Linked DNA regions of Saccharomyces cerevisiae S288C. The gene in region 1 interacts genetically with each later gene. Each region holds a gene or a part of one and is shown on either strand. Other genes may lie near its edges.

The links. Genes that interact genetically often act in the same process or in processes that back each other up.
Region 2: mutations in PEX30 (region 1) and SEI1 impair growth when combined (synthetic growth defect), as found in Saccharomyces cerevisiae (3 studies listed by BioGRID, with this or other methods).
Region 3: mutations in PEX30 (region 1) and LDB16 together harm fitness more than expected from each alone (negative genetic interaction), as found in Saccharomyces cerevisiae (3 studies listed by BioGRID, with this or other methods).

The regions. Positions count from the first base shown.
Region 1 is NC_001144.5:775,568-783,687, forward strand, and holds PEX30 (peroxisome biogenesis protein), read left to right. Parts: upstream 1-3,647; coding exon 3,648-5,219; downstream 5,220-8,120. Other genes in the region: MMS22 (Mms22p), read left to right, coding at 1-737; SFH1 (Sfh1p), read right to left, coding at 1,017-2,297; U2-type spliceosomal complex subunit CWC24, read right to left, coding at 2,606-3,385; 60S ribosomal protein eL38 RPL38, read right to left, coding at 5,576-5,812; YLR326W (uncharacterized protein), read left to right, coding at 6,607-7,329; TMA10 (Tma10p), read right to left, coding at 7,560-7,820.
Region 2 is NC_001144.5:927,240-932,310, forward strand, and holds SEI1 (seipin), read left to right. Parts: upstream 1-1,503; coding exon 1,504-2,361; downstream 2,362-5,071. Other genes in the region: zinc-coordinating transcription factor SFP1, read left to right, coding at 1-380; DUS4 (tRNA dihydrouridine synthase), read left to right, coding at 2,550-3,653; 60S ribosomal protein eL31 RPL31B, read right to left, coding at 3,826-4,110, 4,460-4,516; YLR406C-A (uncharacterized protein), read right to left, coding at 4,967-5,071. UniProt on the Saccharomyces cerevisiae protein: Involved in lipid metabolism and lipid droplet (LD) morphology, number, and size. Facilitates initiation of LD formation, and ensures that vectorial budding of LDs from the ER is directed towards the cytoplasm.
Region 3 is NC_001135.5:106,384-111,501, forward strand, and holds LDB16 (Ldb16p), read left to right. Parts: upstream 1-1,637; coding exon 1,638-2,408; downstream 2,409-5,118. Other genes in the region: ubiquitin-binding ESCRT-I subunit protein STP22, read right to left, coding at 1-470; VMA9 (H(+)-transporting V0 sector ATPase subunit e), read left to right, coding at 640-650, 728-808, 905-1,034; PGS1 (CDP-diacylglycerol--glycerol-3-phosphate 3-phosphatidyltransferase), read left to right, coding at 2,722-4,287; YCL002C (uncharacterized protein), read right to left, coding at 4,425-5,118.

The DNA of each region.
Region 1 (8,120 bases):
TCTTGGCAAAATATCTCGAATTTCTTAACAAAAATTGCTTGACTGAGCTAAGAAATAATCAACTCTTCATCAGTCTAAGAAGGGAACTTGGTATTTCAAGTGATGAAGACGAAAAATGTGCGTTCTGGGACTCATTCAATGAAGCAGGTGATATACTTTCCAAAGCTGCATTTGTTGAAACCGGTATTGTTCAAGCCTGTTGCACTGGGAATGAAATTGATGGATATCTTGACAATTTAAGCACTTTATTCACCTCCACCATGTTAGAGAGCCCTTTTGCATTTTTTTCTGACCTGGTGATAGCACACATATTTGAGAACAGACCTTTTTTCGACGTGAATATCAAGAATTTTCTTCTATCTCACTTCATAGACCTTTTCAACAAGGTTTTAAAAATGAAATTCGAGCAGGTATCTCCTGATGAATTTGCTGAACTTTGCAAAGTATACAGGGCGTTATGTATTGAGTGCGCAACAGACGACACCTTTAATAGTAATAGTGATTTGATCGCCGCAAAAGATGCGTTTTTGGTATCTGTGTTGAGAATCGCAGATGGGTTTTGGGAGCATGACAAACTTTTGCAGCTAAGGATGCTTGATAGTAATATGAACATACCTAATCAGATTCCTCATACTACTTTGCAAAGTTCGCTATCTGCGATTGTAATAAAGATAATAGAAAGTAATATAGGAAAAATTGAGGCGTCTGAACCTTTCAAAACCTTCAAGAATACGTAAATTATACACATGTAATATAAGCATATTTAAAAATTCTCCGTAATATATGTCATATATGTCAAATTGCGAATTAGTCCAAATAGAAACAAGATCTATCAGTGTTGGTGATAAACATTTTGTATTCTTTTGGTAACGTGTATCTCAAAGAAGTGCATGACTTTTTTTACGTTCTCTTTAGTCTTGATTTAGTTGCTTCTGCGTTTGTTAAATTTTTTGTCCTTCCCGTTTGATTAATAATACTTATAATAATACAATTCTGTAACAAGAAAAGCAAAGTTACTACATTCTCATTGTGGTTTCTAAGTCATCTAATCTTCTCCTGCCCCTTCTAGATAATCTATCAGTTTCTCTTTTCAATCTTCTTAAGTTTCTTTCTTTTTCAATTTCTCTCTTTTGTATTTCTTCTTTTGTTAATATTTCCACCCTTGGGCACCAATTGGAGCCCAGTTCATCAATATCCAGCCTTATACCAGATAAGTACCCAAATGCGGCATCGTTTGGGACATGGTCCTGAATCAAGTGGCCATCTACCCAGTCCTTCTTTATCTTCAAGATAGTTTCATGAAGCGATTGAGATATTAAGGGGATGAACTCTCTTGTTAAGCCAAGGTCCTGTACAATGGATGTAGCAAATCTTTCTGGAGTAAGTGATTTGTCGTTCAAGTTCCACTGGAAGTTATCTTCAAAAAATCTGTCTTGTAAGTTGCAGGTTAGGTTGATTATCACGTGGAGGTCAGACATTATCTCAGTGGCTGCAATATTTTCGAGGTCTTTCAACTGCTCTTTTATTATATTCGCAATTTGAGTTTGTAAGGTAGCGGAAGTCATATCAAGATCTTTACAGTATATAGAGGCAAATTCCTCCGGAGATATGGAGTCGTCATTGTAGTTCCAGAGAAACTGGTCTTTTATGGTATGACCCATATGTTCTATATCCAAAGTAATTGGTATCATGATTGCCTCTCCAGAATTGGCGTTTGCCTTCGTTTCTTGATCAGTGTTGAGTCTATATGGAGACACCACTTTTCCGTTAATGAAAGTATCTCTTATTTTAGGGTATCTCAATATGTTGAAGGGGTTGTGGTGTTGGTCTTGCAGATCCGGTAGAACGGCGTTTCCAATATCCTGTGCCTGCGCTTTGTTGCTCGGACCATTGCTGGCGTTGTTATTGCTATTCAAACCGGATAAAGATTCCACAACCATGTTTGAACCCGCATCGTATTTGTTGTTAGAGATAATACTATCAGCTCCATTCATGTTCTCTAGGACATTGTATTCGGAACCGTCCATGGTAACACCATTTGTAAGTGCCGGAGTATTTTCATGAGACACTGCATTATCTTTATAGTGTGTATCAGCATTGTTGAAATTAGAACCGTTCATATTGAATTCATCAAAGAGATCGTTGTCATATTCCGCATAGTTGACCACTTTAGCCCTTTTATGCTGCCTTGTTTGTTGAGCCATTGTAAAGATGGGGATACCATCATCTTCGTTTGTCAATCTGTTATGAAAGTTAGAAATATAAGCTTGTGGAATAAGCTGGTTTTGGTGCGACATTGTGTGCTGCTATGTGCCTTTCTTCTTTCTTTTTTCAATGTACTTCATTCAATAATCTCTATTTGTCGTATTTTCTAAGTTTTTTTTTTTTGTCAAAGTAGTCGCGGCGACTTTAAATGAGCAGATCATCATTTAGTAGACAAAAAGACACGGGACATCTTCTATCTATATAGTTTACATACTTTATTATGTGAAAGAGTCTTTCGAAATTGCAACAATGCTCGATAAATCTATGGGTCATGTGCTCTATAATTCCTGTACATTAGCATCGGGTGCGTGTAATTTTTGGGGTGATATGGCATTCTCCATCAACTTTTCCTTTTATTTAGCATCTTCTGTAAGTCAGATGCTACTTTTGCACTGCCGTGGGTCTCCTTGTGGCATATAAAGCATTTGGTGCCCTTTTTCATATCTTTGGCAAAACACGATCCACAAAAATAATGGCCACAGTTTGTGACCACTGGAGACTTGTAATCTTCCTTACAAAGAGTGCACTTGAACGGTATCTTTTCCAAGTCTAGAGTAACCGCTTTGGAGTCCTCTTTATCCGCATTCCATTCTTGGTTCAGCTTCCAGCCAGTCTTGAAATCATCCCTCGAGTGTAAGAACTTGCAGCTATCTCCGTAACCACAGTATCCCGTCTGTTTGTAATCTTTGCAAACGTCGGGCTGAAAATCCATCAGCACCGTGGTCCGGATATTCGTTGGTTGGTTAATCTGTTTAGTGAGGCGTTTATTTTTACCGCTCATGTTCAGTACCAGCTCATTGTCATCACTAGGTCGCCTCTTCTTTGCCTTCTCAGCCAGCTCTTTTCTCTCAAAGTTTAGAAGATCTTCTTTAGTGCTGTCGTCGTTGACCGTTAAAGTGTATTTATCTAAATCCTCACCCTTTTTCTGTAGTTTACCTTCATTCTCATGTGAAAGTTGAAGTGTCCTGCTATTTCCACTCTTGGCTAAGCTCATGAGGTCACTGGAACCCTTTTCTTCATCGCTGGCCACTAGTTTCTCTTCGCTAAAATTAATTTTCTGCCTCTTTTTCTGGTTCTTTTCATCAGAAGAGCTTTTGTTCACTAATCTCTTTCTGAACATGAATACCTGGAGCTTTGATTAAGTGATGGAGCTTTCGATGGCTTTAGCTTGAGTCCACTTCAGATAGAGATGCGCATGGCTTTTTCTTATTATTCTCCGGTTGCACGGAAAGAAGCGGGAAGAGGACTAAAGGGTTTTTGGATCAGCTTCACAAAATATATACTTGGATACGTTCGCTACTGAGGTAAAGTGGGCATGCAAGGTTGCAATTTAGGATTCGAGCTGTCTAGTTGATCCTCCGGAGTGTAAAAACTGATTTTCAATGAGTGGTAACACAACTAACGTGCATGAGACTAGAGCCAAGTTTGCAGAGACGCTGCAACCGAGGATTGGTGGCAATACTACAAAAGTGATACGAGCTGCTTTGGAAAAGAACGAAGCTGAAAGCGGGGTGTCTGAGGATAATGATAACGGGTCATTGGAGAAAGTTAACGTAGCTACTTCGCCGCTTTTGACATCAACACCGCCCACAATCTCAAAGGCGTTGGTGAAATTGTACCCTTATTTAATTCTCATTGACGAATTCCTAAACGTTGTTACATGGACAGGAAAGAATATTTGGAGCAGTGTTTTGATGCTGTGTCTCTTTATTACTACCGTTGAGTATTTTGAAACGCTGGTGAAGTACTTTGGACATCTTGCCATCATTGCTATTTTGTGGGGTTATTCCCTATTGGACAATTATATTGAGGGTACGTTGAGCTCCTCACCAACATTAGAAGATATTGCTCTCTTAATGAACAGAGTATCCTTGAAGTCAGATATTTTGCTCTCCCCCATGGTTAACCTTGGAACGCAAGATATTCAACGGCTTCTATATACTACGGTCATATTATCTCCAATATACGTGATGATAACCTGGCTACTTTTACCACCGAGAAGCTTGATGCTGATGGTGGGCATGTTCCTTTTAACGTATCACTCACCATGGTCTAAAGTAGCAAGAAGGCTTTTATGGAAGTTTAAGATTGTCAGGCTGCTTGTTTTCTACGTCACGGGTTTAGACCTTGGTGGAATAAATAAGGACCAGGGTATTTTTGCTACAGTGCAGAAGCAAGTGAAAAAGTTGGCATCAACAGAAAACAGTAATGGCGTATTATCCGATTCCAAGCCTATCCGTTTTACTTATGTTTTGTACGAGAACCAGCGTCGTTGGTTAGGTATTGGATGGAAGCCTAGTATGTTGAGTTATGAGAGGACTCCATGGACCGATGAATTTTTGAATGAGGCTCCCTCTCCTGAAAACTTCCATCTACCTGAAGAGACTAACACTATGGTTTGGAGATGGGTCGACAAGACATGGAGGCTAGACATGACTAATGACGGTGCCATTCAAGTGCCCAATTCAAAGGCAAGAACTTCCGCAGATCCCTCCCCTGACGAGGGATTTATATATTACGACAATACCTGGAAAAAACCAAGTAAAGAAGATTCCTTTTCTAAATATACAAGAAGAAGAAGATGGGTAAGAACCGCAGAATTGGTCAAAACTTCTGACTTTGATGAAAGCGTGATAAATTCGAATAGAAATTCTGCCATTGAACAAAAGGTTGAAGAAAACAGCACGAATGGTTTAACCGCTGAGCAAGAGCTTGGGAGCAACAAGCAAGAGAAAGATAATGCGAAAAAAGTAGGAGAGCCTACAACAGAAGAGACAAAAGAATTTGCCGAAGCATCAAACATCAACGAAGGCGAGTTTGAAAGAATTTCCTCGACCGATGAAGAAGTTTTAAAATCTAGGGCAAGAGATCGACTGGCAAAAGTATTAGATGATACTGAAGAGAAAGAGCAATCAAATCCAACCATTGGTCGCGATAGCAAGAAGGCCGTATGATGCTCGCTCCCGTTTTTACCTTTACATAATATAATCTCTAATTTACTTTATTACACAAATGGTAACTCCCTTTAAATAAACTTAAAAAAGAACGTATAGAACTCTCTTCTTCAATGAATAGTAATCCAATTTTTTTTATTAACTATACAACGTTATGACTTTAAAAATTAAAAAATATGTTTATGAGTAGTAAGAAAAACAAAAGGAAACAAAAACAAAAAAAGTTATAAAGCCTATTTCTACTTCCTGTATAACGAACACAAATGGATATTATTCTTTATGCGGATGGGAAAGTATTCTTAGTTTTTTTTGTTCCAGTCTCGTTATGATAACACTCCGATCATTCCTTATTTTTCTTATAATCTGTTAACCTTCAAAGTTGGTGGCAAAGATTGGATCAATTTCTTAGCCTTACCAGCATCGTTGATAACCAAAGTGTACAAAGAAGAAGAGCCTCTAACCTTGAACTTGGTTTGTCTGAATGGCTTACCGGCCTTGTTCAATTTTTTGTTAATCTTAACAGTGGCGGTCTTAACGTCAGCTCTTCTGGTCAATTCCAAAAATTGTTTGATGTCGGTGATTTCTCTAGCCATTTTTCCTTGATATTTTGTCGTACTATATTCAACCTGAAATAAAAAACTAACAGTTGAAATATTTCTACATTGAAATTAGAAAATTTAATTCTTTAGATTGAAGATTCAATATTGTGCAAAAGCGTACAGCAGCAATCACGACTCTACATGCCATAGAGCTTGGAAAACTCTCCATAATTTTCCACTCGAACGTATGATGCTCCGTCTATTTTTTTCAACAGTTGCACGGACGAGTCCTCCTTTTCGCAAGGCATTTTAATTGTGTGGGTTTATGAAAATGCACGGATGCATTTTCTCTAGATGAAAATTCCGTCTTGGAATAATATCGGAATGAGCTAAAAGAACACCAGTACGCGAATATGTGAGATGCCCTGTTTTGTCACATAACAGCGGCAGTTAATTTGGCGTCTTTTCTGGGAAGCGAGTTTATTTGGCAAGGCTATGATGTTTTATAATACTAATCACGCATTGCAACTTCACAAAGTAGTTGTGACATGTGGATGTAATAGCGTTACTTTTCTTTTTGTTTATTGCTATTTGTTTCTATTTTCTTTTTTTAAATCGCGCTAATACGTGGAAAAATGCGTAGAAGCCGGGAATGGGACGTGATTATGAGATCATAACATGACTGCGAGCTAGAGAGCATTGGAAGAATTTGCTTTTTTGTTCAGTTCCCTACTCATATATTTGTTTCATAGAAGTCGTAGTATACGTGAGACAAGAGCACTTGAAAATAAATCTTGGATCTGCTGGGAGCAATATCATCAAGTAAAATAAGGGGGAAACCATATCAAATGTCAGGGTTCATTAAGAGCACGTTGCTTGGTCTAGGCCAAGATTACTTAGAAGATCAATATCAAGAGTTCGCAGAACAGCATTTCCAGCCAACCAGGGATCCGTTTTATGAAACGAATAAAGATGGTAAAAAGCACCGCCGCAGACTGCCATATTATTGCACTAAGGATGAAAGTAAAGCGTGGAAAAAGGTCCAAAACAAAGCCTGGCTGCATGACAAATCACTGTGCGGATGCTGTTGCTGGACAAACACTATAGGATGGGCACCATTACTTGCACTTCTACCGGTTATAGGACCCTTATTGATGTATTGGGTGCATGATAAGTTGATTGAATTGGCAGATGACAGGTATAAATTGCCTGCGGAAATCAAGGTGAAGATGCATGGTAATATCGTTATCGATTTACTTATTAGTTTAGTTCCTATTCTGGGAAGTGTTTTTGCATGGTTGCACGCATGTTCCACGAGAAACGCAGCTATAGTTTACAATTTTGTTGGAAAAAGGGCATTGGAAAGAAAGCAAGCGGAGCTCATGCATCAAAAAGAAGAAAATGAGAAACATTCCAATGCCAATACTGCACCTCCAGTAGTTGGTGGCAACAAAAATGTGAATGGAAACAGAAATAATAGTAAAATGTATAACAGACCGCCTGTGACAGCTCCACCTGCACCAGCATACACGCGCAGTACTAACGGTCGCCCCCAAAGAGGTTACAGGTGAACAAACCGGCCACGGTAAGGCTACATTCTTATCAACAAATATGGGCAATCAAAAACTTATAATGTAAATTTTATTTTTTATCGTAAACATGTATTTAAGAAGTAATATAAAGGATGTTTGACATGATCATTTTATATATGCATACACGTTATTGAAGTTATATGGTCGTTAAATCATTAAAAGGCCCGTTTCTTTGAAATATGCTAACGGAATCAAACCGGTCGGGTCGGTTAGATGTGGTATTGTTGCAAATCAGAAAGCCTTCTTTCATTGTTTTGGGAGTTAGAGCCCCTTCTGGTCTTGTTGAAGACTGTCTTAATTTCGCCAGAATCGATTAAGTCATTAATCTCATCGCCAGGCTTGCCCCAATTGCCTTTCCCATAGCCTCCTCTCTTGACGTGGTTGGGAGACTCCCCAAAGTTGCCGTTATGGGTGAAATACTTTGGGTTAGACTTTGCTTCGTGGACTGTCCATTTGCTAGTTCTGGTCATGTTTGAATTGTGTTTGTGTTAGAAATTTGTGTGCTTTAATGTTATGTTATAATGAAATCTTATTAGATTTATTTAACGTTTTTGCTGTGCTTATAATAAACATTACATAATAAAAGGAGTAGAAGAAAGTGGTAGAGAGGAGTACAAATCTACCTGCCAGAACTCTCTCCTTATATATATTTCCAGTGGTGTCTGGATTACCTACCTCAAGCCATACCATATCCATACCATATCCATAAACGCCTACAAAATTTCTACCCCAATCCAGCAGCTTCTATCACTATCTCGTATACCACCATA
Region 2 (5,071 bases), 150 kb from region 1:
ATGGCTCCAGTTCCAATGGAAAATCAGTTCATAACAACAATTACAAGATGCCTCAGCAAGCTTATATAGACGATCCTGCGAGAAGGCTCTATGTAATGGATCATGAGGAACAAAAACCCTTTAAGTGTCCAGTTATTGGTTGTGAAAAGACTTATAAAAACCAAAACGGTTTGAAGTACCATAGGTTGCACGGACATCAGAATCAAAAATTACATGAAAACCCTGACGGTACATTTAGCGTAATAGATCCAGATTCGACAGATTCTTTTGGTGATGGAATGGGCTCTGCAAAGGATAAACCATACCGTTGTGAAGTTTGTGGTAAGAGATATAAGAACTTGAACGGTTTAAAATATCACAGGGGCCACTCCACTCACTAAGATATAATTGTTTCTTTACTGAATTGATTTAGTATGCTATTTAGATACTAATTCTACCGTTACCGACTCATGCATCGAGCGGCCGCTCTTTCTCTTGTTGTTGGGCGCAATTTATGTGATCATCTTTGAACGAAAATGCATGATAAAGCTGTGCTCTTCGACTGTTACCATTAATTTCAAAAAATAAAAAGCATATCTATTATTGAAAAATGAACTTATAATAGAATAACATTTTCTTGTTTTGTCATCATTTCCTCTAAATACTCCGTCATGAAAACGATTTGCGCTCTGTCTGGTCTCTCCTTTTAGTATTATTGTTGTGTGTTTTTTACTATTCATTTTTTACTACTGTGTTTTTACTATATATATTTTGGCTTTACTTACTTCCTTCTGTTCTGATGTATTAAAAACTATTTTTATTCTAAGAAAAGAAACTTTAATTCTTCTTATTCATGCTCTAAATCTTAAATAAAAGGTTCCGTTTTTTATCTGCAATTCTGTGTATTTGTAAGTGAATTACCATGCACGTTGTCGGATCGTTTTTCTAGGCAGAAACTATCTTATTGAACCATTAAAAGATTACTTAAATATTACAATTAATCTTACGAAGCATATTAATTAGACTGGAATTACAGCGCAACTATCACAGGTTAATAATTGGTTGAGAAAATATTATAGTTTTGTTAGTAATGTTGAACTTTTATTTTATACACTTATGAAAGTAAATTAATTCAATATCAATAATAATATACTATAAGTAACTTAAAAAGCAACCTTCCTCCCAAACCTACAATCCAATCACGCTGATAAGTATTATCTAGAAAGTTGACAACACCAAGCCATATGGTCAAGAAACATTTATTGAGAGTTATTTTGTAAATAAGACTTTTCGTCATCCATATAAAGCAACCTAATTGTTCATCTAATACTAGAGTCGCTCTTTTGAAAGTTAAGTATAACTACCTCATCATTAGTTGCTACTATGTGTATAATTTGAAAATCTCAACGTAAGGTTATTAAAAATATAAATGCGCGTAAGACAGAAAAATAGAGACAGCTTACGGCAAATTATCAAAATGTGAATCCAAGGTTTCAAGAAAATAAGATAAAGTGAATAGGAAGGATGAAAATCAATGTATCCCGTCCATTACAGTTTTTACAATGGAGTTCATATATTGTTGTTGCATTTCTGATACAATTGCTAATCATTCTTCCTTTATCGATCTTAATATATCACGATTTTTACCTAAGACTATTACCTGCCGATTCCTCTAACGTAGTCCCCCTTAATACGTTCAACATTTTAAATGGCGTACAATTTGGTACAAAATTCTTCCAATCTATTAAAAGCATTCCGGTAGGTACAGATCTGCCGCAAACAATAGACAATGGCTTATCACAGTTAATCCCCATGCGTGACAACATGGAATACAAGCTCGATCTAAACCTACAGCTTTATTGCCAGAGCAAAACTGACCATTTAAATTTAGACAATTTGTTAATTGATGTTTACAGAGGTCCAGGCCCGCTATTGGGTGCTCCTGGAGGAAGTAACAGCAAAGATGAAAAAATCTTTCACACTTCTAGACCTATTGTCTGCCTCGCACTGACGGATTCCATGTCGCCTCAGGAGATCGAACAACTAGGCCCATCACGTCTAGACGTTTACGATGAAGAATGGCTAAATACAATAAGAATAGAGGACAAAATATCGTTAGAGTCTTCATATGAAACAATCTCGGTGTTCTTGAAAACGGAGATTGCCCAAAGAAATCTAATAATACATCCAGAAAGTGGGATTAAGTTTAGGATGAATTTTGAGCAGGGATTAAGAAACTTGATGCTTCGAAAAAGATTTTTATCTTATATTATTGGCATTTCAATTTTCCATTGCATAATATGTGTACTTTTTTTTATCACAGGTTGCACTGCATTCATTTTTGTTAGAAAGGGTCAGGAAAAATCCAAGAAACATAGCTGATAGAATTGTACTTCTCGCTATATAATTTTAAAACCTAGCTGTTATTTTCTAAGTAAGTAGGCTCTTCCAGCATTCTGCTTCTTCGCCCTGAATAAAAAAAAGATGATCAGCGAAAAAACTCAAAATGAAAATAAGAGATGGATTCTTCAAAGTTATAATTCATATGCAGAATAAAGATTCTAAAGAAAATGCACACAATGCATATTCCATCCGGTGATGTTCTGATACCGAAGCCGAAGCTTATTACTGAAGAAACAGATCCACTGCATATAATAAAGACGAGGCAAAAGACACATGGTCGGCCCGTGACCATTGCAGGCCCAATGGTTCGGTATTCCAAGTTACCATTCCGTCAGTTGTGCCGAGAATATAACGTTGATATAGTTTACTCCCCCATGATTTTGGCAAGAGAATATGTCCGTAATGAGCATGCAAGAATCTCAGACCTTTCTACAAATAATGAGGACACCCCGCTAATCGTCCAAGTAGGTGTAAATAACGTGGCTGATTTACTAAAATTTGTGGAAATGGTTGCCCCATACTGTGATGGTATTGGTATTAACTGTGGTTGTCCTATAAAGGAACAAATCCGAGAGGGCATAGGTTGCGCTCTGATATACAATTCAGATTTGTTATGCAGTATGGTCCATGCTGTGAAAGATAAGTATGGCGACAAACTAAGAATTGAAACGAAAATAAGAATACATGAGGCATTGGACGAGACGGTGGAGTTATGTAGAAAGCTATGTGATGCTGGGGTAGATTGGATTACGATTCATGGCCGAACACGTAGAACTAGGTCATCGCAGCCGGCTAACCTGGATGCGATAAAATATATCATCGAGAACATCAGCGACAAAAATGTGCCTGTAATAGCGAATGGGGATTGTTTTAAGTTATCCGATTTGGAAAGAATCACCAAATACACTGGTGCACATGGTGTCATGGCTGTGCGTGGGTTGTTAAGCAATCCAGCGTTATTTGCTGGATATACTACCTGCCCTTGGGGCTGCATTGAGAAGTTTTGTTATTGGGCTCTAGAGTTTGGTGGCTTGCCTTTTCAATTGGCTCAGCACCATCTGTACTGTATGCTTGAAAATATGGAGTTGAAGAAATCTCTGTTAAAGAAAATGATGAATCTTAAAAATTACATTAGTCTGATCGACTGGTTTAATAAAACCTTTGAGTTCAAGCGTTACGGCGAGGATGGATTTGGCATGGGCGTTGAAATTCCTTATAAAGCTAATAGCTGTGTGCAGAGGAGCGCCTCAGTGGTTGAGAGACAAGAATGAATAAATTTTGAATTACAAAAATCTAATAAACTGTGGTACTGAAATTGTATATATTTTCCTATCATTCAAGAGCGTATACTCGTACCCCGAAAGCAGCTCTGTTTGTGTAATAATATAACCTAAAAGAAATAAAATGCTTATAAGATGGACATTATTTTTTTTTTTTTACAATTTAAGCATCTTCTTCAACGACAACGGTTTGTAGACCCTTAGCAGAGGCAACCAAAACTGGTTCGACGTAGGAAAACAATGGGTTCTTGGCATCTTCTTCTTCGTTTCTCTTTCTGGAGATTCTCAATCTCAATCTGTATTCAACACCCTTAACACCTCTTTTCCAGATAGCTTGGTTCAATTCTGGGGCTAGACGGACATCTTCAGTACCCATGTGTAATTTGGCGAATTTCTTGATTTCCTTCACAGCTCTTGGAGCTCTCTTTTTGAAACTGACACCATGTAGCTATATTAATATCAATTCAAGATTGGTCTGTTAGTAAAAAAAAAGTTGTTATAAGAAGGTGGAACTAAAGCATCACGCCAAAAACATCGGCCCAAGCGCCATTATAGTGTAAACGTGAGGTACGGATATCGATCGCAGAACACAGAGAAATGCAGTACCGAAGAAGAACCTTCCAGTCCTTGCATCACGCATTCCATATAATAACCTCTAATATTCCGAATTAAAACCTGGGGTCAATCATTGGAAAATGAAATTTCACCCGTATAGATTTCGCTTGGTATTTCACCACAATATCGCTTGTTGGCTTTCAATAATTTCCCACGTAAAGACAACGCTAATTTCGACATACTCTTTTGTGCAAGTTGATGGTGTATTCACGAGTGACAACGTCTTTTAAACCGGCCATTTTCAAGTACTTTGGATTATCTGCTCGTGCAATTGAAATATACTAAGACCCAAGACTATGTAAAACTAAGGAACCTATCAACAATGAGACTGGTCAAATAATAGAGTAAACATGTACATGAAGCACTACCATCAGAAAGAGCTTACAAGGTTACGAAACAACGTCAGTGCCCTCTGTCGCATTACCCTCGGTTTCGCGCCCTTCCAGTTGGCATTTGAAGTGCCAATCCAATTGTGAGCACATCCAACTAGCGTGCCCTTGCAATCCCAGAGGACACCATACAACTTCCAGCCTAGTAGTGAACTTACCAGGCGAGGAGCGCGGGCGCCAGAGGGCAGCTCATCTGCGTTCCGGCTCTAACGAGAAGGGCGGAAATGGCACCATCACCTGAAAAAGAACGTAATCTAGGCTGAGCCGCGCCTTTAAGTTTTTGTCGCATCTGGCTGCGCTTCATTTAAACGGCACTCCTAAAAAATTGTATGAGGTGATTTTTTTTGTGTACAGATGTACGGATGTACGGATGTACGGATGTATACTATGTAATAATGCACGGAT
Region 3 (5,118 bases), on another chromosome or scaffold:
TGTGGCGGCTCGTGTAAGAGACTCATTAATTCTTGTACGACCATTATAAGGTTCATCGCGGCAGGATCCCAGCAGTGGAGTATGGGCAGCGCAATCCACCCATTGGAGTCGATGTATTCTTGAATGGGCAAGGAACTACTGATGGTGTTCATGTCGAAATTTTCCAAGTTTATACTTATAAAGGGAGGTTTTACCGGGTACATACTGGGTACCCACATGATCACAGGAATACTGTGAGGAGATGAACCATCCTCACCAGTACTAATGGTACCATATATGGACAACAGTAGTTGTGGAGTGCCGTCAGAGTGCGTAAATACCCTTGTTCTTGGCCTTAAACTGTGAAAATTGTCCAGCAGCGCTAAAGAATCGTGGAAAGTTGTTCTTCCGTCGTTATAAATGGGTTGAATGACTTTGAACAGCCAATTGACCACCGCCTCGGGAACAGAGATCTTGCCGTTTGCAGACATCGTTGCTCTTCACTCTCTCTCTTTTCTTGGCCGTTAAGATACCAACTGCCCACAAAATTTTGCCGTAACTTTTTATTCTCGCTCTGTGAAAAAAGACTACTACATTTTTTGACCTTTTATCTATACTTTAAGAAACAAAGGTCCAACGAATAATAAAGAACAAAGAGTAATGAGTAGTTTGTATGTGTCATAATCTCTTCTCTCCGCTTCCCTTTTCTTCCTTCTTCTTCTACTAACTCTCTGCGCGTCCAATTTAGCTATACTGTTGTTGGTGTATTCATAGTGGTTAGTGCCATGTCCGTGCTGTTCTGGATAATGGCTCCAAAGAACAACCAAGCGTATGTGCAACATTTTTTTTACGATGTGTCTCCATATTACTAGTTTCCCTTTCTTTTTTACTAACAAGAGTTTGTTTGTTTTGTTTTGTCGTACAGTGTTTGGAGAAGTACAGTGATTTTGACATTGGCCATGATGTTTTTGATGTGGGCCATTACGTTCCTTTGCCAGCTCCATCCCTTGGTGGCTCCACGCCGTTCAGATTTGAGACCTGAATTTGCAGAATAAAGCGTCGAGTATATCAAGCCAAGTGACGTTTCCTGAGTATAAGAAAAATAAGCAAAATAAGTATACATAAAAATAAATACGAATAGAAATATAGTGGCATCTAAACAACCCAGAGATTTTTTGAAAAACACAATGAGTATATACTGATAGACAACCACACGGTCTTTGAAACGAGACGCCGTCTACGGTTGTATCAAAATGTGTAAACGGGCCATTTCAAAGCTTGATCTTCTCCATAATTAGAACCCATGTCCCGTGGAAGCGTTTTAAAAGACATGAGGCAGAAACAGGAGTGTGATATCCTTGCATGCGCAAGTTGGTAATACACTGCACAAAACACGCGTGTGCACATACACTTATGTGGTTCACCGTGCCGCTGCTGTGTTTATCTGTTGCTCGACATGTGCTGCTAATGATTATGTTGGAATAGACAAACAATTTAAAGTAATTTCTTCTTTTTTTATAGTGAGAAATCTCAAAAGAAAAAAAAAAAAATAAAAAAAACTAAAGAGCTGCCGGGTGAGCAACGACTAAAAGAAGAAACCATTTAGGGCTTCATCAGCAACTGTAGGAGGAGAAAGCAGGTATATAACTAGCCGCAATATGTTTGTGGTGGATTGGAGCGTGCAGCTATGCATGGGAGTGATTTCACCTCTCTTCCGTGCCCTCGTGCAACTGCCTTTATCAATTTTCGTATGGAATGGGTTTCAGCTTGTGGCATTGCCTATCAACATCCCATTGAGGTTGTTCCTGGGGACGTCGCTGAGCCGTTTAGTTGCACAAACAAGCACATTAGACTTCTATGTGGTTTTGACGTTGTTTCAATATTTTGCTGTGCTTTGTGCTTTTGGCAGCATCATAGGACTCATCTTTGGATTTATATTGGGTGTGTTCCACTCAATCTGCGGGGTACCCAGTGTATACATAAGTCTAGAATGGAAACGGTGGTTTGCTCCGATACGTACGGTCCTTGAACGTGCTTCCACTAGTATTGTCAACATTATGCGAGGACAAACTATTGCGCCAATACCCATGCCTAAGCCCAATCCCACGCATATATCAAAGCCTAACATGAAAAAATTCCATGATGAGCCTGGAGCTGATGATATGACTATAACGCATGATGTGAACTGCTACATCACCCCTTGCCAAACGCCTACTAACGAAAAAATTCAGCATTATAATAATGATTCATTCAACACGACCACCACAGACGATGAACCCACTGATATTTGGGATAGGTCTGACACTTACCAAAACTCATTCGTCACCAATGAAACTTTGATGTCTCTTTCTAATAGAGCTAAGCTTCGAAGAAATGCCAGTGATGCGGACATCGTTAATATAAAGATTTTACGAAGGAATTCTAGGTGATATTGCAATTACTTCTTCTCATGCACTAACAAGTGAATGATAGAAATATGTTGAGTTCCTAACTGCCTGATTTTAAATAAGTTTCATATTATAATCTTTTAGCATATATATATATATATTGATCCTCTCTCTTCTTTATTTTCTGCCAGTAACCCATGTGTGAAGAAGAAAACATAAATAAAAAAGCAGTAGCACATGGACACATTCACGCCCGAACACTCCTAAAAAGCAGCCCACACAAGAAAGTAGATATAATGTAGGACACCCAGCTTGTCCATAATTGCTAATAGCATACTCAGGATAACATATATTAATGACGACTCGTTTGCTCCAACTCACTCGTCCTCATTACAGATTATTATCCCTACCTCTCCAGAAACCCTTCAATATAAAAAGGCAGATGTCCGCTGCGAACCCTTCTCCATTTGGCAATTATTTGAACACGATCACTAAGTCCCTACAACAGAATTTACAAACATGCTTTCATTTCCAAGCAAAAGAAATCGATATAATCGAATCTCCATCTCAGTTTTACGATCTCTTGAAGACAAAAATACTTAATTCACAAAATAGAATATTCATTGCGTCTCTGTATTTAGGCAAAAGCGAGACTGAGTTGGTGGACTGCATATCCCAGGCATTGACCAAGAACCCCAAGTTGAAAGTTTCTTTTCTACTTGATGGCCTTCGAGGAACAAGAGAATTGCCTTCCGCCTGTTCCGCCACTTTATTATCGTCTTTAGTAGCCAAATATGGGTCAGAGAGAGTGGATTGCCGATTGTACAAGACGCCTGCTTATCATGGTTGGAAAAAAGTCTTGGTTCCCAAGAGATTTAATGAAGGTTTAGGCTTACAACATATGAAAATATATGGGTTTGATAACGAGGTCATTCTTTCGGGAGCCAACCTTTCGAACGACTATTTCACCAACAGACAAGATAGATACTATCTCTTTAAATCTCGAAACTTCTCCAACTATTATTTTAAATTACATCAACTCATAAGTTCCTTCAGTTATCAGATTATAAAGCCAATGGTGGATGGTAGCATCAACATCATTTGGCCAGATTCGAATCCTACTGTTGAACCGACGAAAAATAAAAGGCTGTTTTTAAGGGAAGCATCTCAATTACTAGATGGCTTTTTAAAGAGTTCTAAACAAAGCCTCCCGATTACTGCCGTGGGTCAATTCTCCACATTAGTTTACCCAATTTCTCAATTCACTCCACTTTTTCCCAAATATAATGACAAATCGACCGAAAAAAGAACAATATTGTCATTGCTTTCCACTATAACAAGCAATGCCATTTCTTGGACGTTCACTGCAGGATACTTCAATATTTTGCCAGACATCAAAGCAAAACTGCTGGCAACGCCGGTTGCTGAGGCAAATGTAATAACAGCTTCCCCCTTTGCAAACGGCTTTTACCAATCAAAGGGCGTCTCATCAAATTTACCTGGTGCTTACTTGTACCTGTCAAAAAAATTTCTACAAGATGTATGTAGGTACAGACAAGATCATGCTATTACATTAAGAGAATGGCAAAGAGGCGTAGTAAATAAGCCGAATGGTTGGTCATATCACGCAAAAGGTATTTGGCTTTCCGCTCGTGATAAAAATGATGCTAACAATTGGAAACCCTTTATCACGGTTATAGGATCTTCAAACTATACGAGAAGGGCGTATTCATTAGATTTGGAATCGAATGCTCTCATTATTACAAGAGATGAAGAGCTAAGAAAAAAAATGAAAGCAGAGTTAGATAATTTATTACAATATACAAAACCTGTAACTCTAGAAGACTTTCAATCAGACCCAGAAAGACATGTTGGCACTGGTGTAAAGATAGCTACCTCCATTTTGGGTAAAAAACTTTAGATTCTATTCTATCATAGTATGTCGCCTGTAAATATGGAAAAATAAAAGAAAAAATAGTAATAATAAATGCATTATCTAAAACTCCTTAAATTTGCAAACATCGCAAAGCCATTAAGGTAGAGAATGAGCTGACCTTGTTATAGTTTTCCTTTTGGCAACCGTGGTTTCCGTCCTACGTAAACATACTGAACTTGACAAAGTATGACCAATAAGGTGACAAATTGTATCAATTTTACCCAAAAGGGCGTTGAATTAAATGGTATCTCGTAAAACAATGCATTGGTCGGTATTACCAGTCTACCTAATAAATCGATAGATTCAGCCAAAAATGATATCAATGCAAACTTTGATGATAAACCTACTGTTGAGCATCCCATCCAGTTTATACTCATTTGAGGCACATACTTGAAACATTTAAGCAGATTTGCCATTACCCACAAATAATTTATGTGTTCCAAATAGAAAACGCCAAATTTACCTGAATTTTTCAACGGTAAATTAGAGATGGAACAGCCATATGTAAATATGCCTAATACAAGGAACACACTTATAATTATTATGGAAGTAATGGAAATGCCCTGATAAATATGTTTAGTTGACCTATAATAGTATAACTGCCTTAAAACCATCATGCAGCAACAGGAAACGCAAAAATCTTTTAGAATGAGGAAACTGGATATAGGTATACTACGGGCATCATTCAACGGATAAAAAAGTGGGAATCTTTGAGACAGTTGTTCCCTCACCAGAGATGAATAACAATAATGCAACGCGCAATACAAGTACAGACCATTACCAACAAAATCTAGCAGAAATAAATCATATGAAAGC